Linked DNA regions of Struthio camelus. The protein of the gene in region 1 binds, or shares a complex with, the protein of each later gene. Links are inferred from orthologs where the notes say so. Each region holds a gene or a part of one and is shown on either strand. Other genes may lie near its edges.

What was found.
Region 2: the proteins of RET (region 1) and DOK1 are in contact, whole or in part, in a crystal structure (PDB 1UEF), measured with the Mus musculus proteins. The link is inferred for Struthio camelus from reciprocal best matches to the Homo sapiens genes RET and DOK1. Residues at the interface, in NP_033076.2 of Mus musculus: Thr1056, Trp1057, Ile1058, Glu1059, Asn1060, Leu1062, Tyr1063; in NP_034200.4 of Mus musculus: Tyr203, Thr204, Leu205, Leu206, Arg207, Arg208, Tyr209, Gly210, Arg211, Asp212, Ser217, Phe218, Glu219, Gly221, Arg222, Arg223, Thr230, Phe242, Glu246, Ile249, Gln252.

What each region holds. Positions count from the first base shown.
Region 1 is NC_090948.1:30,690,664-30,706,274, forward strand, and holds the start of RET (proto-oncogene tyrosine-protein kinase receptor Ret), read left to right. Parts: upstream 1-8,386; 5' UTR 8,387-8,405; coding exon 8,406-8,451; intron 8,452-15,611. UniProt on the Homo sapiens protein: Receptor tyrosine-protein kinase involved in numerous cellular mechanisms including cell proliferation, neuronal navigation, cell migration, and cell differentiation in response to glia cell line-derived growth family factors (GDNF, NRTN, ARTN, PSPN and GDF15).
Region 2 is NC_090945.1:87,724,154-87,739,928, forward strand, and holds the start of DOK1 (docking protein 1), read left to right. Parts: upstream 1-8,113; 5' UTR 8,114-8,168; coding exon 8,169-8,231; intron 8,232-8,867; coding exon 8,868-9,164; intron 9,165-12,037; coding exon 12,038-12,149; intron 12,150-12,304; coding exon 12,305-12,477; intron 12,478-14,641; coding exon 14,642-15,748; 3' UTR 15,749-15,775. Other genes in the region: protein O-GlcNAcase-like, read right to left, coding at 2,811-2,862, 6,193-6,232. UniProt on the Homo sapiens protein: DOK proteins are enzymatically inert adaptor or scaffolding proteins. They provide a docking platform for the assembly of multimolecular signaling complexes. DOK1 appears to be a negative regulator of the insulin signaling pathway.

The DNA.
Region 1 (15,611 bases):
TATTTGTATTGCAGCAGCTGCAGCTGGAGCCTAGTGCTAGATAGGGTCTCTGTTACAGTTGTGCGTAGTCTCCTCCCCCCAAAATATAATTTATACTATGTTTTGTGCTAGTACATAAGTAAACATGTATTTTTTGAAAGAAATCGTGGGAAATGCACTTTCAGTTTATACTCCTTGAAAAGCTGTAGTGACTCTGACAGTTTGAATAGGGAGCTTGGGGAAAAGAGGGCTGGATTTTTCCCATGTCCAAGAAAGTCAACCCCCATCTGCTTGTGTAAACCTCTGAAGACTTTCTGCTAAAATCCCAGAATGCTCCATTTGTCCATAATGTGCTCTCGGCCCTACAAAGCCTACAAAGGCTTTGCAGGATGTTGGAAGGTCAGGGACCTCTTGTCTCAGGGTGAATCTCTACTGGGCTGGCCATGACTTGGCATCCGCATCTCCTTTTATTGGTCATAATGATTTTGAGAACTTTCTGGTCCTTCTAAAGCTCATATTATGATCAAATTCCAAAGGTAAAGGGCAAGCATGAATCTTTTGGCCCACCTTAAAACAGACCACAAGTTTGTGTCGTGCTTAGTTCCTGTCTCATCAGTCACTGCCACATGGTGATATTTTGCTTGTTCGTTCTTTTAGAAAAAACAAGCTATACCCATGTGCTTGGCATCTTGTATAAGTGTAATATATCCTATCTACCTATAGTAACTGGTCTAACAGACTGCAATTTTCTTTTGCAATGGCTGTTTTCAGCCATTTAAACTTCTGTGGCAACTTATGCAGTACTCTGTGGCTCCATATGATGCATTTCTGAAATTTGATTTAAAAAAGATTTTAGGAAATGACGTACTGGAAAAGTTTATATTCAGAGACAGTATTATAATATTAAGCACACCAAATTAAGTAAACCTAAAGTTTACATTTTCAATGTGAATTCATCTCCTTTGTGCAGCGTATTTGAGAGTATGTGCTATTGCATATTCTTGCATTTACAGGACTCTAGCCTTACTCAATGCACAGGATGAACAGAGCAGAGGCTTATATTAGTTGCAGGTGTGTTATTTAAATCATTACTGGTTAAACTGTTGATTCCTGGACCCCAGGAATCTACACGCTCCAATAATACTGCTGACACTGACTTCTAACTGTTTCTGAATAAGACTTAAAAGGCATATTAGTGACCAAATAAAAAATGTATAGGCCAGACTCCCTTCTCACATTTCCTCACAGGCAAGCTCTTGATTTCATTTTTAATGTGATGTTCTTTAAATGCAGAGAGTGTGTATATGTGTAATAGAAAAACATATCCTGTTAGATCGATAGAATGCAGGGGCCAATGTGACTCTATAAACCATGGCGTGAATGAAGATGCGTGCCCTGACTATCTGAGTGCTTTCTTTTACGACCATAGTACCATATATTTAAAGATACGTTTTAGTGTGAATGCAGATCTCTTAAACTAGCCTAGGATCATATTTCCTGATCTCAAATCATTACAATTTTGTAACATATGGTGCTGAATGTAAATCAGGTTATGTAGATCATTTAACCCAATACAGGTTAACTTAAGGGTGAAGTCCCTTGTAAGTCCTGAATCTGATATTTTTATACTAATTCCTATAGTGACCAAATTAATTTTTATTCTACTGAATGTGATCTTCTCTTCATTAACCTTAGTGTGCTTTCATGCTTATGTTCATAACTGAATAATGATCACGAGTTTGTCAGCTCTTCCCTGTCAGAATTCAACTTGATAATTTAGGACACTAAAAACAATCAGGTCACTGTTTCCCCTTATGCTATAGGAGCAAATCCCCAGGTATTATAAGTTGTCATAGCTCCATTCTGAACCTGTGAAAGTGTACATCAGCTGAAGAACTTGCCTGCTATTACCATAAAGCTGTTGTGTCACAAATGAGATGTAGGCACTTTGCTGTGATTACTTCTGGGACTAGATCATTCATTGGGGTATCAAGGTCTAATGCTTTTGCTACCAGTGACGACTTTGGTGGAGGACAGAAAGATTTGAGAGTTCATGTCTGGTTTGTAAATCTGGTTTCGCATGTAAGTATCCTACACCACAACAGACCTTAGCTACCTTAAGCACCAGCAAGGTCAGAGAGAAGTTTTTGGGAAGGGCCACATCAGTTCAGTTCCTCTGCTCTGTTGGATGGTAAGCAGGACAATGGGGAGGATTGAAATGGGATGATGATGGAGGAATTGCTCCAACAGGAACGTTACCTGCCTTGGACCTGCGCACTGTAGAAACTCTGCTATGGGTTTTTGGGTTCCTATCTGTATGGGAGCTCTGTAGGGCGGTGGGCCAGCAGCGACCATGCTTTTCTAACCACCTGGTTCTCACCTTCATATTCTATAAGGACTGAAGACTGCTGACTCTGGCAGAACCCCCTCTGTGGCTGTGGACGATGCTGCCAATGGCACCATGGCATGTAACAAATCGTACTGTGGGCTGCAGAAATTGCCTGGAAGAAGCGCAGCCTTCCCATGGCTGGGAAGGCTCTCTTAGTTCCTGTGTACACAGACATCTGTGCAAGGAGAGTGAGGCCTCTTCCCAGTAGCGATGTGGCAAAGGTAAAGCTGAAAAGATTTCAGGGCTTCATTGTTGAACTTAAAACAACTCAGATTTTATACTGCTCAATGGAGATAACACGGTTTTGTCAGGTTAATTGAATTATGTTTCATATTGAACCCCAAGCATTTATATGTTTTGAGTTGGTTTCCCTATATTTTTGTGTATTAAAACTTACCACATTTGAAACTTCTTAGATTTTTTTTTACATGTTTGAAACCCCTAGGGTATGCTGTGATCATGTTTTCCACTTCACTGTCAACTTCTCTGCAACCGAATGTACTGTTTAAGGAAGAAATATAATGAAAGCTGAGATTCACAAATATTTGCTGGGCATTTAAGGAAGTATCACAGCTCTGTTTGGCTGTTATCATTTTTTGTTAGCGTTGATAATGCAGTATTTTTTAGGGTCATGTATACACTTCAGAAAAGGTTCTGGTGAGTTGTGACACATGGTGGGCAGACCTGAGTGTACGCTGAACAGAATCATTCTCTAACACGTTCACCTCCCCCAGCTCACTATGGGGATACTTCAGCTGGGCGGTGAGCAGGAGGCTTGCCTTGGTGATAGCTTGAGCTGTAAATCCTTTATGAATGAGTAAGGAATCCAGGTTTCTTAAGTCTCAGGTGAGCTATTATATGCAACACCAAATTCTAAGAACCAAGGATGAAAATAATCTTTTTAACATTACTATCATTATAGTATATTATCTACTGGCAATGGACATGGAGAAGTCAACAAAGGATGTTTTATATTTTGTTAGCTGGTTTTAATTTATCAGCTGCCAATTTCAATACATTTCTCTAAATAGTTGTACTGTAACTTCTGGAAAAATATCTACCCCCTACCACTCAAATTCTGATGGGGGGGGTGTGAACCTGCATGCGTGTGTTCATAATGTTTCCAGGCAGATTCAAAATGTTTGTTTAAAAGCTAGAAAAATCTGGTCTTCCAAGTTAGGAAGAACTTTACAGATCATACTGATGTGGAGAGATTTATCATATTAATGCCTGTTAATACCTCAGGGAAATTAATGCCTCTTGAGTAACAGAATGAATATTGAGCCTTGATGCCAAGGTGCCTGCGAGTTGCAACTGTTGAGATTATTTTGTAGTGTGGTTCCAAGCAAAAAAAATTGTCTGTGCAAATGAGATAATCGTTAGTCATCAGCATGGCTGCTCTCTCTGATACTAGCCTGGGGATATTCCTGTGGTGATGGAAAGCCAACGGCATAGCTCCACTGGGTGCTCTGCAACTTGCACATCATGGCTTGTGGGTTGTATCGCATGTGGCTGGTGTGCATTGTCAGTGCCAGAGGTTTACATTCGGTCCCAGTGGCAGCCTGGAGCACAGAAGGGATCGCTCTGTCAGGTCTCCAAAGGATTTTGGCTCTTCCTGGTCTACCCAGGCCCATGATCTGTTATTCTGCTTTCCCTGTCACAACATCTCCACTGCTTTTGCCAGTCCTTTCTCACAGTTTTCACAAGACTCTTGGTTTGCCAGGAAAGCTACGTATAGGACAATGTTGAGCCCCTTGCTTAAAATTCTTGAGATCCAGGCAGCTGCTGCCATTCTTTCTCCACAACAGGCAGATTTGGTTTTTATTTTCTCCTAATGTGAAAGAAACATCTTCTTCGTTCCTTCTCCAGGTGCTGTGATGTAGAAGATCGCTCAGAATTGGTGCGCTGCTTTCTTATGATAACAAGGCTTTCTGACCAGGTAATAGCACTTTCGGATGAGCGCTCTAGGAAAACATGCTATTCTTATGCTCTTTCAGTGATTTAAGCAGGGCCAAAATGAAATAGGTGCTGTGGATTGCTGGACAGTTTAAACGGTAGCTGTACATAACAAGCAGAGAAGAAGGTATCGGGTAGAAGAATAGGAAATAAAACCCATATGTCTTACAAACCTGTAAACAATAGCTTGAATCAAGTCTGCCATGCAGATAAATCATTTGTGATTGTCAGGATCAAAATATGACCTGTCCCTTTACCATTAGCATCTACCTTGGAAAGAATATCTATTCAGTGCAGTCCTAGATGTAACTGTATGAAAGACTTGACAATTTGATCACAAAGTAGAATGAAGTGTTACTAAGTTAACTGTGGGTCTTTTTTAACTCATTTTTTCTAAAGTGATAAGCAATATTACTTCAGATTTCTGAGACTCTACAACAAATAACCTTAAGGTTCAGGACAAATTCTTAAGTCCTGAACCTGTCAAGAATGAGGTTTCAATCACAACGTTCTAGGAGGACTTTCTATAAAAATATTTCTCATTGTTCATTTATGAATGTTCTGACAACATGGAAAGGTGGAACACTCCTCACGTGTCTTGCCTCAGTGCTAACTGAGCATGACCTAAGATCTCTGATGAAAAAACTAAGAAACAGTTATCAAATAATATGCGATTCAGGGAACATTATCATATGAGGACATCTCAGGGTGCCTTTATAAAGGAAAAAAATACAATAATTTAATAGCTCAGTCTGCAGTGCCAAATGAATGACTCAAAGCAAAGCAGAAATAAATGAGTATGAGCTATAGTTTCACAATTGCACCAGCCTGCAGGAAAGTGCCAATTTATTTCCAGAGTATTTTGCTAGGAGAGTGATGGGAGACAGATTACAGAGCTTGAGGTTGTCGGGAAAATCAAGGGCACCTAGTTCTTTATTCCCTGCTTAATAGTGCTGGTTTTCACATCAGTTTTCAAAAAGCCTTCAGACAAAGAAACCAAGTAAATGACATGAATGTGCATGTTATGCCTATCTGAGCAAAGGTTAGCTGCTAGAAGGAGAGAGTTGTCAGGAGGCTTGTGTTCCTCTACTAAACTCGAGGGCAGAGTCTTCACAGTCTGTGTTGGGCTTCTTTGTGGGTGTGGAAACGGGGCCGGGCAGGAACTGTTCTGTTTTGTATTCTTTTCCGCTGAAGTTTGAATTCTGAGGAATAAATCAAATACCTGCATTTTGATAGGCTACTGCTGCATTTCATGAGATGCAGCAGTTGGGTTATTTCAGTCTTGCTGACGGTAGGCTGTGTTTCTAGACCAAACTACATTTCTTCAATACACCATCAGCTTTTCTTGGTGAAGGCTTGGAGCACATTGGAGACCGTGAGGCAGAATGGCTCCATGAAGGCTCCACTGGCATTAGTGTGATGATTGCACTGGCTGGAATACTGCAGATGTTAATATTCGGTCCCTTTCTTATCTAAGATGGTAACTTCTTCCCACATGTGTCGTGTGTAAGGTATGATCCTCTAAGAGCATATAAACCTGCTTAACCTAAAAGCCTGGAAATCAATGACAAAATGATTGTGGTGACCTCATTTATTCTCCTTGTGCGACTAACACAATGGCATCTAGAACCAGGTTTAATGCGCTGGAACAGAGCCTGAAGCTGGCAGAGGAGTACAGCTTTGGCTTCAGTTGCTGAGATGCCAGAAGAGATTGGAAGTCCTTGAAATTCTTCCAAGAAGTCACTTTGTCCTGGATGGAAACTGACATTTATCAGTGCAGATGATAGTGCTGTATTTTAGATGGCATCAATATTGATTTGTATACAGTGTGAGCTTTTAAATATGATTTAAGATAAAGCTCGATTTAACATAAGACATTGCTCCACAAAGCATTGATTTAATGTTAATGTTTTGTATGTTGCTTTCTTTGCTCTAGCCTTTCCCTTGCCTTATGGAGACATCCCACATATGCTTCTTAGTTCCCTCTATCGGGCATCTATAAAAGCCCCACAAAGACTTAGGCACGTGAGAAAGTACTCAGAAGTTTAATTTATGCTCTCAGGTAGCTTCAAATGCAATTAATTTATGAGGGTTGCTACTGTCCATCTCAAATTCATTATTACCCCTTTATGTGCTTGCATTTGGCTTACTGTTTTCCCATGACTGATTAAGAACATAGGCATGCTTGATGGAGGTCTAACAGAAAAGTTAAGAGTAAGTTAGTACTTTTATCGGCTCTGTAGGGTAATTTTGTGTATTGTCGCATCGTGTAGTGTTGGGTATCTTGAGTAGAATCCTTATACACGGGGCTAAGAGAGAAACTAGAATGTCCTATTTGATTAGTATTTAAAGTAGTCCATAGCAGGTGACATTACATTTTACACTGAGCATCATTCTGCTGCGTATGTCTCGTTCAAATGGCCAGAAGGGTTGGAAAGCCTTCTGTTTGCTCTTGCTTGAGCATTGCAAAGTCTGAAGGTTGGGAAAGATCAGGTCTTTAGTTGCTGATCTATGTCTAAGTCCTGATGCCCAGATCTCCCAAACAGCATCACGGTGACGAGGCAACATCAGCTTGGGGTGAAGAAAGTATTCTTTTCAGCAGGTCGAAATGACCTGTAAACGTAACTCCCCACTGATAGTGGGAGGAGAGGTGCAACGAAAGGTTTTCCTTTGGCCGAAAGCTGTAGGGAGGGTGGGGCTCGGGGCGGCAGCGTGCTGCGGGGCTTGTGCCGCCCCGAGGAGCTCGCTCCGGGCCTCGCCGGGGCTGGGGCCGGTGGCGGGGCGAGGCAGGGCTGCGCGGGCGCGGAGCGGGGCTTGGCCGAGCCGGCCCTGCTGGCGGGGACGCGGACGGTGGAGCAGCTGCTGGGAGCGCGGGGGCCGCGCAGGGGAGCGGAGCCCGGGCCGGCGCCGCGGGCGGCCGCGGCCGTGCCGGACGGCGGCAGGTCCAGCCGCGGCTCACGGCACTGAGCCCCGAATGCTTTGGGCGGTGTTTGTTGGCAGCAGCTTTTTCGGACCGCTTTCCTCAGCGAGGCGGACCTGTTGTTAAAGAGTATTTTTGTTCTCCCCTTTGCTTGCGGTTTAAAAGTGGTGTTTCGCTCCTCAGCGCGATGCCTTGCATTCCGGGTTACTTTGGTGCCTTGCCAGGTAGAGATCATCTCTTACAGCATTCTCCTACCATCAAGCAAAAATTGTCTCCTCTCCTAAGGATTAATTATTCAACATGTTTAATGTGTTGGGGGGGGGCACTCGGGGGCATCCTAGCGCCGCAGCGCCTGTCCCTGCTTTGTCTCGCACCTGGAGCGTTTGTGCTGCTCGTGTGTCTTCCTCCTCCTCCTCCTCCCGCTCCGCGCCCGCCGGGCACACCTCTCTGCCTTCCCGGCCCGTCTCCGCACGCGGCTAACTCCGGTGCGGAGGCAGGGGGGAGGACGCGGGAGGTGCGCACCGGGAGGCATCACCCGCGGTTCCCCGCTCCGCAGCCCCCGGCCCGGCGCCCCCTCACCTCGCCCGCCGCCGCCGGCCCGCGGGATGCTCGGGGCGGCGCTGCCGCAGCCCCCGCCGCCGCCGCGCCCCCTCCTTCCCTCCCTCGCTCCCTCCGGGCGGGGCGGCAAGGGACCGGCAGCGCGGACCGGCGGCCCCTCCGCGCTGCGCCGAGCCGAGCCGCGCCGCGCCGCGCAGCCCCGCCCCGTCCCGCCCCGGCCGGGGGAGGGACTGGGGCCGGCCCAGGGCCGGGCGGTGCCGCCGCCCCGGGCAGCACGCTCGGGGCTTGACGCCAGGCGCGGCCGCACCGGAGCGGCGCTTCCCCTTTGATTTGGGTTTCTTCCTGCAGAGTCCGCGGGGCGCAGGCAGCCCCAAGAGCAGCGCGCTCTCGCCCGGCCCAAGGCAGCCGGTGTCGGGGCCGGGAGGTGGCCCAGCCCGGTCGCCCCGGCGCGGCGCTCCGCGGCAGCTCCCCGGCCATGGGCCGGCCCGCCTGAGGAGCCGCAGGACACGGCCGAGGAGAGCGGGGCACACGGCGGCGGGAGCCGGCCTGCGGGAGCCGGCGGGGCGCGCCCGGCGCCGGCCCGGCAGCGCGGAGCGGGGGACGATGCCCGTCGCGGGGCGGACGGCGGGGCTGCTCCTGCTGTGCGGAGGTAAGCGCCGCCGGGCCAGCCCCGCAGCCTGCTGCGGGGCACGTTATCGGTGCCGCGGCGGCTGGTCAGGATCGGAAGATCTCTTCCGAAATATAAACATGGTATAAATAACCCCAATACTTTTTCTTTGCTTTTCAAGCTCTAAAGCTAAGTTAGAACAGATGTGAATTTCCTTGTTCTTTAAATTTATGAGGTGAAAGAGAATAATTTTTAAGCGTGTTCCTATTTTAAGTTTCTAAAAGATTATTCCCTCTCTGCTGTGTTCCCCTCCCCCCCCCCCGAGCTTTTTGTGTCATCAAATTAAATTTGGCTTAGATTGATGAATGAAAATGACCAAAAGATGAAAAGTTATTGGATCGTAAGTTAGACGATGCTATCCACAGATGTCAAGTTTCTAAAGCAAACAGAAAATCCATTATATCTCTTTCTCTTCCATATGGCTATGTTTGCCAACACATTTCTGATGTTTACATGAATAAATCAAAGTTGTTGTTCGCTAGAGAACGTAGCGCAACTCTACATATTCACCAAAATGCATTTATGAAGAAAAGTGAGCCCCAAAACAGCCTAGTAAGTAGACTGCTGGTTGATGTAAGAGTGAAGTGCAATATTAATTCAGTACTTGTGATTCTCTGTAAAATGTGCAACAACTTGCTCCTCATTATCACTGCAGATTACTTGTAGTAGGTCGCACCATCTTACGCTACTGTCAGTAGCTCAGAAAGATTCTAAAACCTCTGTTTTTACTTCATTTTTTCTTTACTATGTTAAAGTACTTTAAGTTGCTCTTATTCCTTTTGTCCGTAATACATTACTGTTAGGGCCTTCAGATCCTCATAAAAACTTGCTAGTACCCAAACCTAGGGTGTCTGGGGAAAAAATATGTGGAATCTAGTAAGTCATTAAAATAAACAAATAGAGAGGGTTATATCACACACCAGTTCATTGTCAGGAAGAATTAGCCATACTTGTATTACTAATGGATGATCTTTCATATCTACTTTACTTTTACCTTTGTATTTATGGCAAATCTATTTTCTTTAATATTTTTGGCAGAATTAGTAGAAATCTGATTTAGCTAAGCTCTTCAATTTGAGGGGTATGTTTGTTTTAGCCAAAACGGGTCACATGCATCTGCTTGAAAATGGTCTTCTGTGATTTCAGTTTAAGCTGGACAGGTAAACTTGCTACTGTTCATTTGGTGATGGACCAGAATATAGTATGTATTCAACATAACTGATGTGCTGAGCTGCTTTCTTCTACAGTTCTTTTTTTCCCCCCTCAATTCTTCCCTTTCAGTGGGACTGTTACTTGATTTTACTTTCACTTGTATAACTGCCTGATATGAATTGTACTCTGAAAGTTCGAGTTGGGGGGAGAGAGAGACAACCCACTTCTCTCCGTTTCTCTTCCCCATTTTATCTGTTTTCTTCTTTGAGTATCAACCCTAAGCAGCTGGGAAAAGTTATGTGAAATCAGTATATTTATTATTAAATATGGCCATAAATTGTTAACTCCTGGATTTGTCCATAGCTTGGAAAGGGATGTTGTAGGAGTTAATTTATCTGAGTATGATAGGCTACCAGCTAGGACTTGTATACCATTTATTTATACTTATAATTGCAGATATTAATTTTGTTTGCCCAAGTTTTGACTGGTGAGGCTTAATATTTGATGCTCTTTAATTTTTACTGAAATTATGGGGAAGAAAAGTTATACACACAAAAGATCACACTTTAAGGTAATTGCATTCATAGTTATTTCAAGAAGTCTAGCATGTTAGCAATGTCGTATGGGTGTCTATTGCTGGAGAGAAGCGCTGTTTCACGTCGTTTAGATGTGTGACGCTAGTTCCTATTTATGTAATATAATCTGAGTTGACAACAGGGGTTAAGATGAATCGTTATGTCTTGGAGGTATTGACAAAATCCCTAAGTGCATGGAGTTCCCCTTTAGAAACTGAACTGTCTCCCATGTGATGGTATGAGTCTCCGGCGGGGGGAGGAACACAGTGAAACTTTAGTGGACTCCATCCCAGAAGGGAAAGCTAAAGATCCTGCAGCGGTAGCTCTGTCGTGCTCTCACTGGGGGGTATGAAGAAATCTCTCACCCATGCAAAACCTTGTCGTGCAGGGTTCCCACCTCCCACCGCACTCGGTTCCTGTTAGTACGTCTTTGGTTTATCTGACCGTGGGAATTTTTTGAAAGCCTAACATTGCAGTAGTTCTTAAAACACATCCTCATGATTAAACTGAAGATTTCTCTAACTTGGACGAGATTGGTAAAATACAATCTGGTGAGCATGCTGTTAGTTGAAAGGGTTAGATCTGGTTCTGTTTTGGCCAGTTTCAAAAAGCACACTGGACCGTTTGTTCTGAAACACGACGGCTGGACCCTTGCTGCTTTTGCATCATAAGCAATGCATAAGTCTCCTGCAGGCAATGATATTAGCATGTGACTACCCAGAAATAAAGAAAATAAAAGGAATGTTTTTCCTCAAGTTAGGACTTCTGTGTCTTTCAGCATCAGTTAAAAGAAATGGAGATATTTATTTATGGAGTGTAGACCTGTGTTTTTCAAAAGCTTACATGTTTTCAGTTGTAGGGCTTCAGGGTGTTTATTTGCACAATGCACTGCGTGGCTGTTCTGCACCAGAGTTTTCGTTCATTTCTGAAAGCTCATATTGATGTGAGAAAAGGACCTTGTTCAGTTAAGTACAGAAAAGAGTGGCTGTAGGACTGTAGTGACTTAGTAGGATGGCGTTGTCTGGAAAGTAATTTTTATTATTAAAGGAAATACTTTCTAAGTGGTAAAGTATTGTCAATGAGTAAAATAATTTATAAGAATTGCAGTGTATGCGTAACTTGTAAAAGTGGAAGGAAAATATGCTTCTATATGGAAATAACTTTAACAAAAATGCTCTTATATATAAGCCATTTCAAATATTTTGTTATTTTATTGACTGTGATATGAAAAAGTGATGAATGCGTTTGTTTTCGTATTCATTTAGGCACTGTACTGGATCAGTTCTTACAGTGCAGTTTCCTGCTGCTGGGGTTATTGCTAATATTCTATTTTGACTGATTTCAACTTAGAAGTAGTTCAGGCTCAACTCGTGCATTCAGAGCAAGGACAGACTTTAGAAAACCAACTGTGCAACTGTGACATTCTTCTCCCCAAAGTTTCTATATTTTGTGTATATTTGTATTTCATCATAGGAAAAGGTGTTTTCCATAGGAGAAACACCTGTATGATTCTTTCTAAAAAGGTTACCGGGGCATTAACATCTTTAGAGCAAAACAGTGCTAATCAGATCAGGTGATCGAGTGCAGGCCATTGAGTTGAGTCGAGGATCAGGCTAAAGAGGGATATAAATTTGTCTGTGTGCCTGTCATTTTGGCAGTGATCTGGTCAGACAATATGTGATTTCTATTTTAATTTGTTTAAATTGTAACCCTGACTGTAGGCCAAGAGAAAATGGAATCTGTGGAGAGAAAAAAAACTGTGAGGCACTTCATTAAGTCAAGTCTTGCATGTCTTATTTGGGGAGGGTATGGAAATCATGAGAAAATTTCAAACCCCACCTTTCTTATTAGGAAAAAGAGGATTAATAGGACACTGACTCTTTCGTACTCTGTTATTTTTATCTGCCTCTAGGCACAGCAACTACAGCAACTACCCCGGCTCTTTCATGGACACCAAAGAACCCACTAGTGGTCTTAGTGCTTCCCCTTGCTAAAGTCACCAGCTTCTGCGAATATGGACTGGGAAATCGATGCTCCACCTGTGCAGAATTGGTTGCAGGGTTAATCCCAGCATTCCTGCTAATTTCAGGGGAAGCTGGCTGGGCCCCCTGTGTCCTCTAGCCTTAGTGTCTGTCCCTACTCTCTTCCTGTTCCCAGCTCCTTCGCCTTCCAGTTCTTCTGCAAATCAGCTTCTGCACTGAAGTTCATAAACTGCAGTCTTTTCCATTTCATAACGAAATTATGTGACTGTTGGGGGGAGGGGTTGGTTTGTTTATTTTTAAACAGCAACAATATGCTAATAGGATCCATATTTTGTGTTATGTTCAATTACCTTTCTTTCCCACTTTTTGGTGGTTTTTTTCTTTTTTTCCCATAGCTTCTTGAAACATTAACACAAGCAGTCAGTTCATATGACGGTGTTGGTTCAGCACCTGCATTCTTAGATGTGCATTCAGTAGCAAGGCAGCATTCAGTTTTCCTTCTGTTTATCATATTATAGTCTGTTAAATTCTTCTTGTTACTGAAACAATAGACACAGTGAGGAAACTTGTACATTGTTTACTCTCTGTTTCTCCCTCTCTCTCCCACTTTGGCCCCTGAAGGAGGGAAAAGACTTGTTTGTTCAGTGATGCGTTTGCATTCTTGGCACCTGCGCTCCGGTTGGTAAGGAGACAGGTGCTAGTTCTAGTTTTTTTAGGGTTTGAACTGAGGTAGCTGGTTTTGGAGAAACCAAATAGTCAGTAACCCTCTCCACAGTACCTCATTTGGCAACTTAACTGTGTTGTGCATGCAGTGTATTTAAGGGGCGTGTATTAATGGACAAAAATAACCTGTAAGTAAGAATTTGTAATTCCCACTTCTCATGGGCCTACTGTCTCCACCATGATGTGAACTAGCAAATACAGACATGTTATGGGTTGGAAAAAATCCATGATGTAGGAGCTCAGTGTTTCCCAGAGCCTTTTTGTGTAAAGGCCATTTAGAGTCTGTCCACAGTGAACAGCAGGTTTGCTCTATTCATATGTTGGCATCCTTCGATTTTCTGGCACCAGAACTGAGAGTGATACCAACTGGTGATTGACTGCAATTGTCTCTGGATTTTAAATGTAACAAATTGTCCGACGTTGCTTTTTGGGTGCAAGCATTTATATTAGTAATATCGCAATACCTATTTTGACATAGACAGTGATTCCCTGAAGTGAGCAAGGTGTATGTTAAGAGCGCACTGTTTTAAGAGCGCACTGTTTTAAGACTGAGGCACATTCATGGTGCAGTGTTGGGAACTGTTCCTAGCTCCTTTTGCTTTCTTTATTCAAAGTAAACTTTTCTAACAGTTGTTGTTTGTTTTCCAGATAAACTTCTTTAGATAAAAGTCATTACAGTATGAGATGGATGGATCTGAGGTTTGCATATTAGATTGGGTAGACCAGTATTCAGGTTTAGTTAACAGCTGTGCTACAGAGTTGTTGGCTGACTCATTCTGTCTTAAATCTCTCTCCTGTAGAGTACTACTATTAGTAGTAATAATCTCCTTTGCATGTCATATGTAATGTTGGTTGTATATAACATAACCCTGTGGCAAAGTGGGGGAAAAACGTACTGAAAAACTTTACAGAATTTCTAGGGTGCACCACATGCATCAAGAAAAAAACAGAGCATCAGAGAAGCTCTAGGTAGCTGTAGAATAAAATCTGTTAGGAGGCTTTGTACAATGAGATTTTGTCCCTCGTCAGCGAGATCTGTTTGCTGCTTCTGCAACAGTGCAGAGAATTCACTGCGTTGAGAGCCTTTTGACAAGTTCTCACATAGAGAAGGTTGCCAATTAATAATGTTATTAAGAAAGCTTTTGTTAATGAAAATAAGTCAGGTGAGGCATGAATAGCCGGATGGTTATTGCTCTTTTTAGAACTCAGTTTTTTAAAAGGACCTTGAAGGTATCTAGAACCATCTTATTCTTCAGATGTTTTATCTTTTTTCCCCACATGAAGAGAACACAAAACTATTTTTCCTAATGATCATTTCAAAATAATAGTTGAGTAGTTTCAGATTTCTGGATCTTGAAATGGGACCATAAGTATACCAGATGCCCTTTTTACCTGAAAGAGATGCTATGTAAATCTACTGAAATGAAAATGATCAGCAGCACTTGAAAGCTTAAGGGGAGATTGCAGTGATCCCAATCAAAAAAGGGAATTAGAAACTTTACTGAGATAATAGTGCCAGAAATGTTGTTTGACTGAATTACTTTAGGAATCTGGCAAACTAAATCAGGTGATTGTAAAAAGAAAATGGATATATTATGCCTAATGGTTGTCTAATGGCTTTTCAGTGCATGTATTTAGAAAACTAATTAAACATTATATTTAACTGATATAACAAAGTTGCTTGTGTTGCTGTAATGGGTGGTTTTTTTAGTGTCCATTATGGGTTTCTTCTAAGCGAGACAAATTTCACTCAGATAATAGAATTAAATCTAGTTTTGTTCCTAATTCATAGATGCCAAGTTGCTGGTTTTCTTGTATGGACTTTTCCATTAGCTGTTCTATTTGTGTGTGAAATGGCAAAATTCAGCTTGACATTAGGAGATCAGAATTTCACATATCTCTGAAGCCTCTTAAAGACTAGTTTCACCACTGAATTAAAACAGGCATCTGAGAGGCAATCTCATAAATGTGTACAAGTATCTGAAGGGGGAGCGTCAAGAGGATGAGGCCAGCCTGTTCTCCGTGGTGCCCAGCAACAGGACAAGAGGCAAGAGGTAGAAACTGAACCACAGGAAGTTCCATCTGAACCTGAGAAAAAACTTCTTCACTGTGAGGGTGACAGAGCATTGGAACAGGTTGCCCAGAGAGGTAGTGGAGTCTCCTTCCCTGGAGATATTCAAAACCCGTCTGGATGTGATCCTGGGCAATATGCTCTAGAGGACCCTGCTTGAGCAGGGAGGTTGGCCTAGATGATCTCCAGAGGTCCCTTCCAACCTAAACGATTCTGTGTGATTCTGTGTGTGATCCTTTAGTCCTACAAGTGCTGTCTTGGAGATGAGACTTAAAATTCACTGTGGCTTAAAGACACGGAGATGTTTCTGTATTCTTCTAAATAATAGATGCATAATTTCAGGTGACTCTTTATTCATTTCTATATCAAGAGCTGAGACTTTCTGATAGGTTCCTAAAAATGGTGCCTTTGACTTTCCCAAAGTTCCCTTTTGCCAGCTCCCATGGACTTCCTTGAGAGTATGCTTCCATGTTGATTGACTTCTGGGGTTTTTTGTATTGATTGGTGGCCTTCCATATCATGTCATCTAGAAGTAGACATCAAAGAGCCTTTCTATGCAAGGAGAAATGAGAACGTGGACTGTATGAATGGTTTACAAAATGTCGGTGAGAATGGCTTTGATTCTCTACATTTTCACAC
Region 2 (15,775 bases), on another chromosome or scaffold:
CACGCCTGCTCCCATCACCCGCGGTCCCTGATCCAGCCCCATGTCTGATCCCACCACCCGTGGTCCCTGATCCAGCCCCACCACTGCTCCCACCACCCAGGGTCCCTGATCCAGCCCCACTGCTGCTCCCACCACCCAGGGTCCCTGCTCCAACCCCACACCTGCTCCCATCACCCAGGTCCCTGATCCAGCCCCACACCTGCTCCCACCACCCGGGTCCCTGCTCCAACCCCACACCTGCTCCCACCACCCGGGTCCCTGATCCTGCCCCACGCCTGCTCCCATCACCCAGGTCCCTGATCCTGCCCCACGCCTGCTCCCACCACCCATGGTCCATCCTCTGCAATGCCCCTGGTATAGCAGCCTAAGAGAGCTCTGGGCAAATAACTGGGAAATGTCAGGCAGGACTAGGGCTATTCGGTGACCTCTGTGCTGGCTGAAAATGCTGACGCAGAGGTGGCCGTGGCGTGGGAAGGCCACTGATAAACTGGAGCACGTCCACCGAGGAATCACAAACACGAGACAGACGGCAAGCCTGGGAGCCAGGGGCTCTTGGAGCCAGTTCTCCTTCTCTCTCCAAGGGGATCCCCGGACCGTTCTCAGGCTGCAAGTGCTGAGGAGACGAGAAACGCCACGGCCTGACAGGCCGGCACAGCGGGATCCAGGGATGGTTTACAGGGACAGGTGAGGTACGGGGGGAAGCGCTCCAGACACGCCGCTGCCGCCGGAGCTGAAGGAGAGCACGTCCAGGAGCCATCAGGTCCCGGCTGTTTCAGGAGCTCAGACTACACCGTCATAACTGCCCTTCCTGGCCTTAAAAAGTATGAATTCCTTCCAAAATTTCCCCAGCTGTCCCAGACTCACTGCAAATTAACAGAACAGGGCAGACACCTCCCTAGGCAGCTCTTTTGGCTTGCCTGTGTGAAAGCCATCTGATTTATTCATTTATTTGTATTTATCCTTCTTAGTAGATGACGGTTTACATTTTCCCATGATGAACAACACTGGGAAGCACTTCATATACCGCATGACACAGGGGCCTCATCTTGGTTTGTTTCAGAGAAGAAAAATGCTGATGAATATACCATGCTTTTAGAATTGTGATTAACAGCTTTCCCACCCCAGTCCAGTACCAGGACATGACATCACTAGACCTTCTCATTCCCAAAACACTTTAAAACATCACATTTTGTTTCCCTTCATTGTCTCAGCTGCGTGTTTTCCCCAGCGTTTCTAACCTACTTTTTTCTATATCTGCATTTCTTGCCCCCACCATGGTTCTTACTTGCACTTGTGACTGCCCACACTGTCACCTTCACACGCTGCAACAGGCGTACTGCCAGTGCCGTCACCAGCACGCTGCCCGCACTGTCACCACTGCACTGCCCACATCACCACCAGCACACTGCCCACACCGTCACCACTGCACCGCCAATGCCATCACCACCGCACTGCCTGCACTGTCGCCACCGCACTGCCCACATCATCACCACCACACTGCCAGTGCCATCACTACTGCACTGCCCACACCGTCACCATTGCACTGCCCACACCGCCACCACCGCGCTGCCCGTGCTGTCACCCATGCACAGCCAGGCTGCGCGTGCCATGCTGCCCATGCTGGGTGCTCCACGAGGGGCCCCAGGGCCCCAGCCAGCCCTGGCAGGTCCAGCCAGTGCAGCTCATCACACCAGTGGCCGGCACATGAGCAATGGCCCCCAGGAGACCGCTGTTTCTCTCCTGCGCAGACCAACCCATCCTAATGTGACCCTCATAACCGGCCAGTAACAGACCCTGCTCACACCCCCCGTTGCAGGAACATGCGGGGGGACGCACAGGGACAGCGCCCCATGGCACGGGGATGCCAGCTGTGAGGAACGCAGCTGGGGAGGGACCTTGCAGCACGCCTGGACTAAAGGGGCCACCCGCAGCCACGAAGGAGCGATGTGGACGTGCTGCCGAGTTTGTTCTTGCAGCGATGACAGCCTGCAGCGCGGGAAGCCCTGAGGGCGCTCCTGCGTGACGCGCGGGCAGCCCAGGCGCGAGGCTCGGCAACGTACTGGCTGGCCGCCTGCACGCCCACGCGGACCGGCGCCAAGGCAACATCCCGGGGATCGACTTCCAGCATGCTAAACACCGACGTCTTCCTCCTCACGTGGATTTGAGTTCCCATTTGCAGCCCTCGACCCTCCTCCTGCTCCCTGGGACCCTGGCTGCACGTGGGCTGCTGCAGCCTGCTCCAGCCGCGCTGCCGTCTGGGCGGAGGAGCTTTCCTGGTGCCCCCAGAGGAGGCGCTCCCAGGGGCGCGCAGCCCCTGCGATCCTCTCCAAACCTTCCCCGCTGCCGTCCCTCCTGCCACAGCTCGGACAGCAGGATGCCAGCTGTCCCCCCAGCTCCCCGCGAGTTTGCACCCGCGCCATCGCGCAGCCCCCGGCCCACCTCTTCCAGAGCCCGTCCCCTTGGGCTGTCCGGCCGAGCACATCTGGCGGCAGCTGGGCCACGGCAGAGTCCCAGCACCACCTGCCGGGCACAAGCAGCATGGCCCGTCCGGCCCGTCCACCCCACGGCAGGGCCGCGCTCCAGAGCCCCAGGGCAGCGCCCCAGGGTGGCCCTGCAGGATCCTGGCCCTCGGCCACCGTGTCTCCAGCGTCCCGACCGCTCGGCCAGCTGGGGGACTCCCACCAGCGCGCACCCTTGCCGCTCCCGCGCTCACGGCCGCGCAGCAGAGGGGCTGGTGCGCGCGTCTGCCTTTCGCCTCGTCAGTCTCTCAGGGGCTAGTACCTCCAGGGGGCAAAACGAGGGGTACTTGCCATTGAAAGAGAAGTTTCCTCTGCTCCATAGACCACGGTCTCCCATAGAAACCTGCAAAAGGACAGGAAAAACAAGAACAAAAATGCACTTGTCAGTCACTCCCTTAAAAGAGCGTCTCTCTGTGCTGTCCCTAAATGCTGCTCTTAACCCAGAGGTCCCTCAGCTGTTTGCCTCCGGGTACTCCAAATGTCTGTTATCCTGCTGCGATCTTGCTGGACCACGATATGTGAGCGACTGGGTATAAGATGTCTGTACTGCCATCCTTCATAGAGAGAAGCAACTGTAAAAAGCTGCATGAGGGGCCCTTAGCTTGGGAGGGGGAATTTACACAGCAAGATCCAAGCGCAGAGGAGATTGCTGCAGGCTGGCTGGACTCAAAGCCCCTCCAGCGTGGTCTTGGGTGCACCGAAGCAGGGAGCTACGGCCACTCTAGAGCTTCCTGCCCGGGGATTTTCTTCATTCCAGAGACCAGCTCTGTGGTTCTTCTGGGTCATCTGCGCATCTCGCAGCGCCTGTGTAGCGTCAAGCAGTGTCAGTGTTCCTGCATGGGTTGTAAAAGCTGCTCCTCTGTCTTTAACCACTGCAGAAACTCAAACTGCACCAAGACTGCACTCATACAGCTCTTGCCTACACTCTGCAGCAGGGCAAGTCTTCGAAACAGCATCCCCACCCCATGGCAAGCTGTTCAGGTAAGGAACGTGCAAACACCTGGCAGGGATTTCCATGAATGCTGGGACAGTGATTGCTACCCGATCCCTCACAGAGGCCTTGTCTGGCCCCCACTGGATAGCACCAAAGCCTTGCAGAGGGAAGGGCCACTGGAGGGAGGCACCTGGGGAGCAATCTTAGGGCTATCTGCTGGCAAGGACATTCATTAATGAGCGCCGAGGCTGGCCAGAAGGACGTTGTCCTTCCAGAAGGTTGTTCAGCAAAACTGAATGCAGGAAATACAGATCTGGAGTCAGCAAATTCCCTAGCGTTTCTTAGCATTTCTGCTTCTGCTGCTTGCAGGCTCGGGAGGTTGTCAGGCACCAGTGTCCGACACAGGGTTGTGGCTGCAGCGCTGCAAGCTGATCATCTGCCCTGGGTGCCCTCCTGCCAGCCAGAGCAGCAGGGAATGGGGCTGTGGTGGGAATGGCACGTCTCGTCTGCTCCTCACCCTCCTCCAACACTTGAGCCTTGCTATGCACCAAGCATGTCCATCCTCAGCTCTCCACTTAGGCTGGAGGAGCTTCTTTAGATGCTAGTTCACCTGGGGACAATGCGGGAATAGGCAGGTAAAGGAGTCTGGAGAGCTGCAAATTTGACTGCTTCTTGAAGAGAGGTTAAGGAGAACCTGTAAGTGTTCAAGCATAGATTTGAAATTTAGCAAGGCAGGGACCTTCAGCCTCATGGTCAAGTCACGGCAAGACCTGGCGGCTGCAATTAGAAGCCTCACAGAAAATGCATTATGTCTTGAACAGTGATGGCAATTAGCCATCAGGGCAGCTTCCCAGTTTCAGATGGGCTCTGCGTCATGGGCAGCTTTTAACTCAGACAATGCACTTGCCTATCAGATGAGAACAACAAGAGCAGAGATTCAATAAGTGAATGCATTTGCTGGGCTGGGCCGGGCTGCGCACAAGGGCAGATCACAATGACTCTGCTAGTCTGGCAGAAAGGGCCAGCTCTTGGCACCTGGCATGAGGCCAGCATCGCCCAGGAACAAGCTTTCCCCAAAGCACTTGAGCGCAGTAGAGCCACTCTACCTGGGAAGGTCCCTTTGGCAGGAGCCCATCTTGCAGCCCTCAGCACTAACCCTGGGCCATAAGGATGGGGTGGCTTGTGCTACAGCACACACTGAGTGTTTGCTGCAGAGAGATGTTTTACCTTCTTGAACATTCACAAGCATACTCCATCTACTTTGAAACGATATATATTTGCTCTGCTAGTCCTATGCATGGGGTCAAATATGTGGCCACTCAGGGATCCCAGAAAACATCTCACTCAAAGTATTTCTATAGGAAATGGATTTTCCATTTCCCAATCCTTGGGAACTCCTGTTCAGCTCACGATGAGGTCCCAGCAGTCCCCATACAGCACCTGCCTGCAAGGGCCACGCTCACACTTTGTTGTGAGCTGACACTGTCTTGAAAGTATGAGATTCGCCTCGTAGCATGGCCCTGCCAGCAGCAGCCCTGGTGGAGGTGCCGTCCCTAGCCCACTCAGAAAACTGGCTTAAACTGTGCCAGCAAAATCCTGCCTGTGCCCGTGGCTGCATCTCCAAAGCGGTGATGCTGAATCACTGCTTCCTTAAAAACAGACAAGCACTGATGAGTGAGGCTGTTTGCTCTCCCAAGGTCCAGATCACTGTATCAGTGAACATCATTGCCTGCCGACCTCTGGGCGAGCTAGGATGTGCCTGGCTGGAAAGCATCCTCCCAAGACCCTGCCAGCTCCCCTGTCTTGCGTGGTCACCCAGATGTTCTGGCCCATCCAGGCTCTCTGCTGCTGGTGATGTCTCGGCTACCAGGAGGGAGCAGGGGCATCTGGGCAGGACACTCCCGGTCTGCCCGGGCCTGGACGCAGCTGTGCCCTGCTCAGCAGCCTGCCCACCATAGCACCACTGTGCACACCCTGCCAGACCCTGTGCTACTGGGATCACGGATGCCTTTCTTTCCTCACTCTCCAGAAACCTCCTCCTCCTCCCTGAAGAGGAGGTCTCTTTCCCAGGTCAGCTTTCCCATACCAATGATTCTTGTCTGATTCAAATTTCTTTTTACTATCAACTTCCCTATTCTCCCACTTTCTCTTTGATTTGTATTTACTTGTATGGTACAGGGCTGCCAGGAAAGATGGAAGTGCTTTTGCCCAGTGGGTGCCAGGCCCGGCCCAGCTCCAGAGGTGCTGTGCTGCAAGGACTGGGGCTGAGCCACACCGAGCAGCCCTCTGAGAGCAGGATTGGCCCAGGCAGCACCGAGCACAGCCAGGGCAGCGCCGCGCTGGGGGTATGGAGGCAGTGGGAGCACACACAGGGATGTTACCTCCGTGCCCAGGGCAGAGAAAGAGGCACTGTCCAGTGCTGGAGCCAGAGCAGCCGGTGCCCATGCCCTGGTGCAAGGCGGCTGCTGCTTGGACGGCTAGGGAACAGCTGGGGGAGTTTCAGGGACCCGGGCCAGTCTCCCATCCCGGGCGGGGACGGGGCGCCGGGCAGGGACCCAGGCCGGTCCCCCATCCCGGGCGGGGACGGGGCACCGGGCAGGGACCCGGGCCGCTGCCTCCCCGATGCCCGGGGCCCCAGGCACTACGTCTCAGAGCCAGTCTCCCGTCCCGTCCCAGTGCTGTCCGGGCAGAGGGACCAGCCCCGACCCCGACCCCGGCCCCGGCCCCGGCGGCACCTACCTTCCACCACGCCGCAGAGGAAGCGCGGCCGCTCCGCCATGCCCGCGGGCCGGAGCGGCGGAGCCCGGTGCTCGGGCGGGCGGAGGGAGGGAGGGAGGGACGAGGGAAGGCACGGATGCGCGCAGCGATGCGCGGGGGTGAGCGGAGGGATGCGCGGGGGGCCCGGAGGGACGGGCCGGGCGCGGAGGGATGCGCGCAGCGGTGCGCGGAGGGATGCGCGGAGGGACGGGCCGGGGGCGCAGCGGTGCGCGGGGGGCCCGGAGGGACGGGCCGGGCGCGGCCCCCCGCCCGCCCCCGCGGGGACGCGCCGCCGCAGCGCGGGGGGCGGCCCCGGCGGGCGGGGCCCGGTGGGCGGGCCGGGGCTCGGCTGTGTCACCGACCGGAGCGGACGCGGAGCCAGGTGGGCGCACGGTAGCGGCGTGTGGGGAACACGTCGCCTGTGCACGATAAACATGTTACTAGCACGCCGTGCCAGCTCACACGCACTGCTGTGCCAGGTGTCACCACTGCACAATACCCTGTGCCGTCTCACCAGTGTGCGGTGGCACGCACACGTGCACACGCCCACACACATGCACACGCACGCACACACGTTACCAGTGCACCCTTTACGGGTGCTGGGCAGGTACACACACGCACACACACATGCACACACACTACCACTGTGCGGGACCCGGTGTGCACACGTTACCAGCGCGCAGCACACGCGCACGCTAGCGGTACCTGGTGCGCGCGTTACCGGTGTGCCATACAGACCCACACACACGTTCCTGGTGCGTGGCAGGAACGAGCGCCCACAGCTGACTGGTGTGCAGGCGTGGCGTGCACAAGTTACCGTGCGTGGTAGGCACGCACACTGCTATAAGGGGCCCCAGGCCTTCACCAGAGTCAGAGTCAGGCTTCTCTACGAGCGTTTATTTCAGCTTGAGCTGGGTGCCTCCGAAGAGGGACCCAGAACAAAGAAATTCTGGGATACCTATACTCCTTACAGCCTGATTTCCCCGCCTGCCAGCGACAGTCTCTTCCAATCTTCTTTACGGAGTCGCTGGTCTCTGTTCGCTGGTTCGTGTCCACGTCCCAGGACGGCTGCTGTGTTCCCGCTTCGCGGTGCCTTACCTTATGGGAGGTTCACGGCTGCCTCTGCCCCTCGGGTGCTGTGCCTCTGGGGGCTGGTTCGAGCCGCCCCGCACTTGTGTCAGCAGTAGCCCACAGGTTCGGGTAAAGTTCAAGCTTAGGCCTGCAGGCTGCGCTACTCCAAGCACCGAGGCTAAGTTTAATCAAGGCTATGCCAATGGAAATAATGGTAGTTTTCTTACACACATGCATGCGTGTGAGCGCACACACGCGCACACACACACACACACACACACACACACACACACACACACACACACACACAGATGTGTGCACACACATATGCACACACACATATACAGATGTGCGCGCACACAAACATATGCATGCACACATACAGATGTGCACACACAAACACGCTCATATACACACATACAGATGTGCACACACACGCACTCATATACAGATGTGCACGCACATATGCATGCACACATATATAGATGTGCGCGCACACACACAAACACATGCATGCACACATATACACACATACAGATGTGCACACAAACATATGCATGCACACATATACAGATGTGTGTGCACACACACACACAAACATATGCATGCACACATATACAGATGTGTGCACACACACACACACACACAAACATATGCATGCACACGTATACACACACACAGATGTGCGCGCACACGCGCACACACCTCCACCCACCCACCCCCCGGCGCGCGCGCACCCGGCTGCGGTGGGGCATGGCCCGCCCTCTGGCCCCGCCCTCCCCGCCCTGGCCCCGCCCCCAGCCCTGCCCCCCCCCCCCCTCCCCGCCCTGGCCCCGCCCGCGGCCCTGGCCCGGCGCGGCGCGGGGCGGCGGAAGCGGGCGGCCGGCATGGACCCGCCGGCCAAGGAGGGGCCGCTCTTCGTGCAGCAGAGCCACAAGTTCGGCGCCAAGGTGGGGCCGGGGCCGGGCGGCTCGGCTCGGCCCGGCTCGGCTCGGCCCGGCCCGGCGGGCTCGGCTCGGCCCGGCTCGGCTCGGCTCGGCTCGGCCCGGCCCGCTCCCTGCCGCCGGCCCGCCCGCGATTGGGGAAGTCGGGCCGGGGCCGCTGGGGCCCGGGCTCCGCCGCCGGTGGCCGCTGCCCTCCCGCGGGGCCGGCGGAGGTGCGGGCCGGGCCGGGACCAAGCCGGGGGGGCTGGTCCGGGGGGGGTCGAGCCGGGGGGGGGGCTGGGGCTGGAGGGGGTCGAGCCGGTGGGGTCGGGGCAGGAGGGGGCCGGGGCCAGGGGGCCATGTCTGGAGCCGGGGGGGGTCGAGCCGGGGGGTGTTGAGCCAGGGGGGCCGGGGCTGGAGGGGGCCGGGCCGGGGGGGTCGGGGCCGGAGGGGGCCGGGCCGGGGGGGTCGGGGCCGGGGCTGGAGGGGGCCGGGCCGGGGGGGTCGGGGCCGGAGGGGGCCGGGCCGGGCCGGGGGGGGGGTCGGGGCTGGAGGGGGCCGGGCCGGGGGGGGGTCGGGGCTCGGGGCTGGGGGGGGGCCGGGCCGGGGGGGTCAGGGTCGCCCGGGGGCTGCCCAGCCCGGCCGTGACCCGCCGCCCCGCAGCGCTGGAAGAAGAACTGGTTCGTGCTGTACCCGGCGAGCCAGCACGGCGTCGCCCGCCTTGAGTTCTTCGACTGCAAGGACCCGGCCGGCGCCCCCGAGAAGCTCAGCACCAAGCGGCTGGACAAGAAGATCGTGCGGCTGGCCGACTGCGTGAGCGTGGCCCCCGCCGGCGAGAGCGGCCCCCGCCACGGCACCGCCGCCTTCTGCCTGGAGACCAGCGACAGGAGCTACCTCTTCGCGGCCGACAAGCAGCAGAGCGAGGAGTGGGTGGCCAAGCTGTGCGAGATCGCCTTCCCGGTGAGCGCGGGGCCGGCAGCGGCGGGGGCATCCCAGGTCCTGCAGCCGGAGCCCGGCCGCGGTTCGCCTCCGTGGGGGCACCGGTGGCCCCGCAGGGCCCCGGGGAGGTCTGCGCGGGGCAGGCCGGGGCATGGGGGCGTGCGGGAGGGAGGGAGGAGGCTGCACAGCTCCTCGCTTCGCAGCCGCGGCAGCCTGGCTGCGCCCGGCGCGGGGAGCCTGGTCCCGGGAGCTCGGCTGCGGGACACCGGGTCGCTCCGCGTAGCTCCTGGCCGTGCTGGTAACGGGACTCGCGTGGTAACGGGACTCCTCAGCCTGTCCTCGGGTAGCTTCTTGCTTGCGCTCACGCTTCGAGGACTGGCTCTTTTCCCTCTGCCTAGAGCCTTGCGCCCCTCCGTGGACCCCGGCTTGCGTTGGCCTGATCGCTGCCTGCCGTTCCCGCCGCTGGAGGGGCGGAAACAACGCCACGGAGAGCCCTGCGTGTGCAGCTGGCACCAGGAGCCAAACCTGCAGCCAGCTGCAGTGCTGACTGTCGCCCCTCCGCCGGTTCTTGGGGCTCGCCCCTTTTTGGAGCCAGGGTGCCCCCTGTCAGTGCCAGGCCTGCGGCGGAGCCCTCTGTGCCTGGGCCCTGAGGGAGCTCAGCCAGCCCCGCTGGGGAGCGCGGTCAGCTCTGCAGCTCCTCCCTAGAGCAGTTGTGGCCAGCGAGTGTAGCAGCTTGCCTGCCCGCACCTCACACCGCAGCTGCCTGAGACGCCTCCGTGGGAAGGCAGAGTTTGCAGAGCAGCAAGTGCGGCCATCCCCGCTGCCCTGCAGGGCCTCCCGCGCTCGCCCGGCCCCTCTGGGTCCGCCGTCTCTCCTCTGCCAGACGAGATGCCTGCAAGGCTCTGGGTAGAGTTCTTGCTGATTGCAGCTTTGTGAGCGCTGGTCAGGGCTGCCCCGTATGATGACTGGTTGTGAAGCTGGCAATCCTGGGACCTTCCCACGAGGACGCACATGTTTGCTGAGCATGACTTATCTTAAGCCGTTTTTTGTCCCTGCTTGCCTCTCCCTGCAGCCTGCTGTCAAATCACATGTGTTTGCGCAGTGAGCGCCTGCTGGTCAGGCCAAGGAGCACAGGTATGGCACTGGGAATCGTTCCTTGTCTGTGCCAAAGTCCATTTTGTGCGGTGTTGCTGCCTTTTCCCTGGAAAGGGCCTGTGGGGCTGAGCCGGGAACACACAGGAGCGCCTTCACAGAGTGATGTGGGGCAGTGGCAGGGCAGGGGAACAGCTGCTTGGAGCAGGAAGGTGCTCACGCTGTCCCTTACACGGTAGCTGTTAGCCGGATGCTTGTGCTCATGAAGCACACTGACAGCTTGGGAAGAGGTTAGCAAAGTGCTGCGAGGATGGCATGTGTTTTAGAAAGGTCTGGCCTGCAGCAAGAGGCGCAGGAGCTGCGCCTGATCTCTCTGCAAGGAGCTGGTTGTGATTTTTGATCCTCTATATTGGGAGCATGATTTCGTTTGAGATCAGTTGCAGTTCAGGTTGGAATTTCTTTTCCTTCTGAAGATTAGGGCTCCTTTGGGCTGTGCTTTCCCTCAAGGGCTCTGGCAGACTTGCTAGCTGTTGACTTCCTGATCCCAGGCTAGAGCCCTTCCTGCGTAAGATGCTTTAGCTGAACAGGAGCCCTCAGGTCTAGGCTGCTAGGTTTCAGCAGTCCCCAGTCTGACGAGGAGGCAAATGAGAGGGTCTGTAGGGCCTTACCTCCTGTTAAGAAGCCCACGTGACCAGTTTTGAACTGAAACTGTGACGATTTGCCTTCTACAAGACACATATTCTGCTGCAACCCCATCCCACGTGCTTTGACACTGAGAAACGTTTTTCAGCTCCTGACTAAATACAGACCCTCATGCAACCGTGCAAAACCTGCTGAAGCTGCGCCTGCAGGGCACCTGTGAGCCTTTGATTTGCATGGGGCTTCCCTGGAGGGGGTTCTTTGCTCTTCTGTGGTAGCGCGGGGGGTGCACCCCGTGCGCAAGCCCTTGGGAGACCCTGCTGCAGAGGGGCGCTGGCTCGGACGACCAGAGTGTATGCGTTGCACTTTCAGTTCTGCATGCGCTAAATGTAGAAGTGCTTGCTTCCCTTCTGCGGGCTGTGCGCAGTGACACTGGCACCGTCTTCCTGCCCGTGCAGAAGCCAGACGCAGAGACCCTCGCGTTACTGGGTCACCTCGCGCGCCCCCCTTGTCTGCGCTGTTGGGAGAGTGCAGCTGGGCCTGCGCGGCGCTTTGAGTGCTGATCTTGCCTGTGTTGGAGCATATCCGTGAGGAAGCAGAGCTGTTCTCTGTGTCGGCACCAGGACATCCGGGTGGCTGAGGCCCTGCCAGAGCGGGTCAGATGAGCAGCTGCAGTGGGGCATGTTGGATCACTGGCTGCTGCAGCCAGAGGAAGTTGCGTGTCAGGGCCAGCTTGCGTCCGTGCCCCGCAGGGCCTGCTGCGCTGGAGCCCAGGGTCCAGTGGAAGGGCTGCTGGGGGCAACTGCTCCTCTCCATGCATTGGGCTGGGTGGGCCTGGGGTCCTGCTGGAAGTCCCAGGGATGCCCCTCAGGCACAGCCAGACCCTGTGTCTGTCCACGGGTCCTGCTGGTTCTGGGCAGGTGTGGAGTCTGTCCCGAGCTGTGGGCTGGGAAGGGCTTGATGCATCTGGAGAGCAGCCAGGCCATGGAGTGGGCAGAGGTGGGCCCCACGGGAGGATGGCTGGCCGCTGGGCCAGGCCGCAGGGCCATGAGTGCTGGCCACGGGGGGCGAGTGGAGTCACGGTGTAGCAACTGGCTGCATGGGGCCCTGGGGGGCCCGCGTGGGACAAGAGAGGCTCAGGCTTATCTGCTCTTCCTTGGCAGGGAAACGGCCCCAGTGATGGTGGTGTGGCAGCCCGGCGCGGCAGAGAGGGCGATGGGGAGGCGCCAGCCTTGGAGATGGCCGTGAACTCCATCTACTACTCACGGGAGGAGGGTAGGGCTTGCTGCTGTGCTGGGCTCGGGCACCCTTCCCCAGGCCCATGTCCTTGCATTGTCCTCGTGCCAGTGGCCTGGGAGACCGGGCTAGGCCTTGCCTGGAGCTGGGAATGGGGTTTCGTCTGCATCCCCTGATCACCCCTGTCCCCACAGCGAACACCTTCTGGGTGACAGTGCAGCGGACGGAGGCTGCGGAGCGCTGCGAGTTGCGTGGTGCCTACGTGCTCAAGGCTGAGCGTGACAGCCTCATCCTGAAGGACCCACAGACGAAGGAGACCCTCTACGTCTGGCCCTATCGGCTACTTCGGAGATATGGCCGAGACAAGGTGAGTTGGGGACCTGCATGCCATGGGCTGAGGCCCATTAATTACTCTGCAGACTTTCCATGGCTGAAGGGCAATGAACTGATGTGCCAGAATCTGCCTGTGGCAGCCGTGCAGCGGGCCCTGCCACGTGCTGGAGCTGCTGCAGTCCTTGGTGACTGCAGAAAGGGCAGCTTTGTTCCCCAGCGGCATCTGTGATCCTCAGCCTGTCCCCAGCTGCCAGCCTGTGATGGTGGGTGTCCCTGTGACGCTGTGCAGGAGTGTGGGCTAGCAGGATGCCTGTTCCTGCTGAGGGCATGCTGCGCAAAGCCCTTTTGCGTGTGGTTCTTGCCCCGCTCTCGTTGGGACTGTTCCAGCCTCTGCCAGATGCCCCTGCAGCTGGCTTGTCCCCTATTTTCCTCTCTCAGTGATCCCCACCCTGGGCCAGCAGCACACACACCCTGCTCCTGCACTCTGCAGGGCTGTCCCAGCCTGCAGGGAGCTTGGCTCTTTACAGCCCTGGCTCCGCGTGCACCTTCTTCTGCCCTGGCTGCAATCTGTCTCTCCTAAAGGACAGTGATGTGAGCAGGTTTGGCTGTTTGAGACCTCCATTACTCTAGATTTGTTTGCCGTTCCGGATGTGCTGCTCTGAGCTTGGCTGACCTACGCAGGCCTGTCCCCTCCCCAACATCCTTCAGCAAAGAATCCCCCAATCCTCATGCTGCTACCCTGAGTGCGAGAGGCACCTGCCCCGCAGGCTGTGCTGCATGCAAAGGAAGTGGTCTCCCCAGGGCTGTTTATAGAAGCAGCAGTGTCAGCTGCAGCCTCCTCGTGGTGCTTTCTGCTGCACTTTATGAGAACAGAAATGGAAACTGTCTGAGCAACTCTTGGGGAGGCATCGGGCCTGTCTGCAGGGCCTGTGCTGGGGGCAGGAGCAGAGCCATGTGGTGTGAGGAGCATGCGCAACAACTGCACTTGCAGTGGCAGCTTGGCTGAGCTTGTGTTAGGAGCGTTCAGACCTGGACCAACTGGGGCCAAGGTGTACTTGAGTCCTGCTGTGGTTCACAGAGTGACTGAAGTTGGAAGGGACCTTTAGGCATCGTCCCTGCTCAAGCAGGGTCACCTAGAGCACGTTGCCCAGTAGCCTGTCCAGACGGCTTATGAATATCTCCGAGGATGGAGACTCCACAACCTCTCTGGGCAACCTGTGCCAGTGCTCAGACACCCTCACAGTGAAGTTTTTCCTCATGTTCAGGCAGAACGTTCTGTGTTCCAATTTGTGCCCATTGCCTCTTGTAGAGGTTGCTGTGGAAGGAAGGAAGGAAAGGAAGCTGTGTCTTGGCTTTATTAGGAGCATTTCGGAGCAAGCGAGGCTGCTGCACGTGAGATTTTCTCCCTTACTAGTGCTCTCACCTGGATTCAGGAACTGAGGTTCAGGAAGGGTCTTGCCATCTGCACGCGAGAACCTGCACGTGGGTGTGTGTTCAGGGCCTAAGAAACACAGTCTTGCTGCGAATCTTCTCTTTAAAATACTCTATACCGTTAACAGAATAATGCTTGTAAGGCAAATGCTTTGTTCATTGGCTATTAGTAGCCAAGCTGCTGCTTCTGGCCTTTCCCCATGAAAAGCCCTGTTCCTCTGTCTTATATCTCTTATCTCTGGATTGCTTCCCTTCTTCCTGACTAATGCTGACTTACCCTTCCGCTCATAATATTTTCTCCTGCAGTACTGTTACTCACCTTGTCACCCTGCTTTCTCTCCAGCGCCAACTGCATATTATTTCCTAGGCTATCTAGTATCAGCTGCTGACCCTGCTGGAAGAGTTCAGGTAAGGCAGCCAATGTGCAGCAGGACCTGCAGCTCTGGGCCTGGAGCATCTCGCAGTGATGCCCCCTCCAGTGTGTCTCACTCCTGTTTCACAGCTTGCTCTAGGCTGCTGGGCAGCGCAGCCTCTCCCTGTGCAGGCAGAGCGGGGCTGTGCAGCTGCAGAGCACACTATGCCCTTAGAGTAGCACTCTCCGCAGCCACCCTCATTGCTAGGAGTGGAAGGAGCAGCAGTGAAGTTGTCTTGCTGGAAGCGCAGGGCTGGCCCTGCAGCCATTTGCTCTTCAGCAGGAAGCAGCAGCCTGTGTGAGACTCTGGGTTGCAGGGTGCTGGGCAGGATGTGACCCTTGCACTTCCCTGCAGGTGATGTTCTCCTTCGAAGCTGGTAGGCGCTGCGACTCTGGCCCAGGGAACTTCACCTTTGAGACCAAGCAGGGCAATGAGATCTTTCGCCTGGTGGAAGCCTCCATCCGGGAGCAGAAAGCGCAGGTGGAGGAGAACCGGCAAAGCTGTGACTCGCTGGATTCGGACAGCCCCAGCATGGTACTGATCCGCCAGGCCCTGGCTGACTCTCTGAGCCTGGAGCTGCCTGCGGAGGGGGACAGCACCATGGTACCGAAAGCAGGGCTGGCACCCAGGCCCAGTGCCGTGGCGGAAGAGAGAGATGCTGTGTCTCTGCTGAAGACCCGGACTCTGCCAGAGCCCCCCGTGCCGCAAGCCAAGTCTGTGGTCCCAAGCACACCCCCACGCTCCCCTCTGCCAAAAGTGCCCCAAGCCATGCTGCCGGCTGAGGACCCGTCCAGCGTGTACTCGGAGCCCCTGGACTCGGTGAAGGGCTTCCGGTCCCAGCTGGACTCGCTCTACTCAGACCCCGTAGACAGCAAGCCTGGGAGCAAGGGCAAGGTGCCCGGCGGAGCCCCGGAAGAGACAAAGCTCCGGGTGCCGGTGCCGCTGTACTCGGGCATGTACGAGCAGGTCCGGGCTGATGGGAGGAGCCAGGCGCTGGCACCACCAGCGCGGAAGGAGCCCATCTATGATGAGCCTGAAGGCTGTGCCACCCACTCTCTGCCCCCTTCCACTTTCATCTATGATGAAGCGCGGCCCACAGACGAGGCGTGGCGTACCCAGGGCCACGATGGCAAGAGCGGCTACGAGTATCCCTACAACCCCAGCATGGATGATTACTCAGTACCTGCCTTCAAGACAAAGGGCCCCAAGCCAGTGCCTGCCCCCAAGCCCCAGGCAGCGTTTATCCCTAAAGGTGCTGAAAGAAACATGGACCCCGGCAGGCGGCGGGTGAACCCCGCTCCTGAGAAGATGGTCGTCAAACCAAGCCTTAATAGCAGCAACAACAACAATGTGGAGGTGCTGTACAGCCAGGTGGTGAAACCCCAGCACATGCAAAAGAAGGAGCAGTCTGTGGATGAGAACAGCTTGTCACCTGTCTACGAGGACCTAGGAGAGATATAGTGTGCTGCTGCCCTGCCTGCCAGGGAA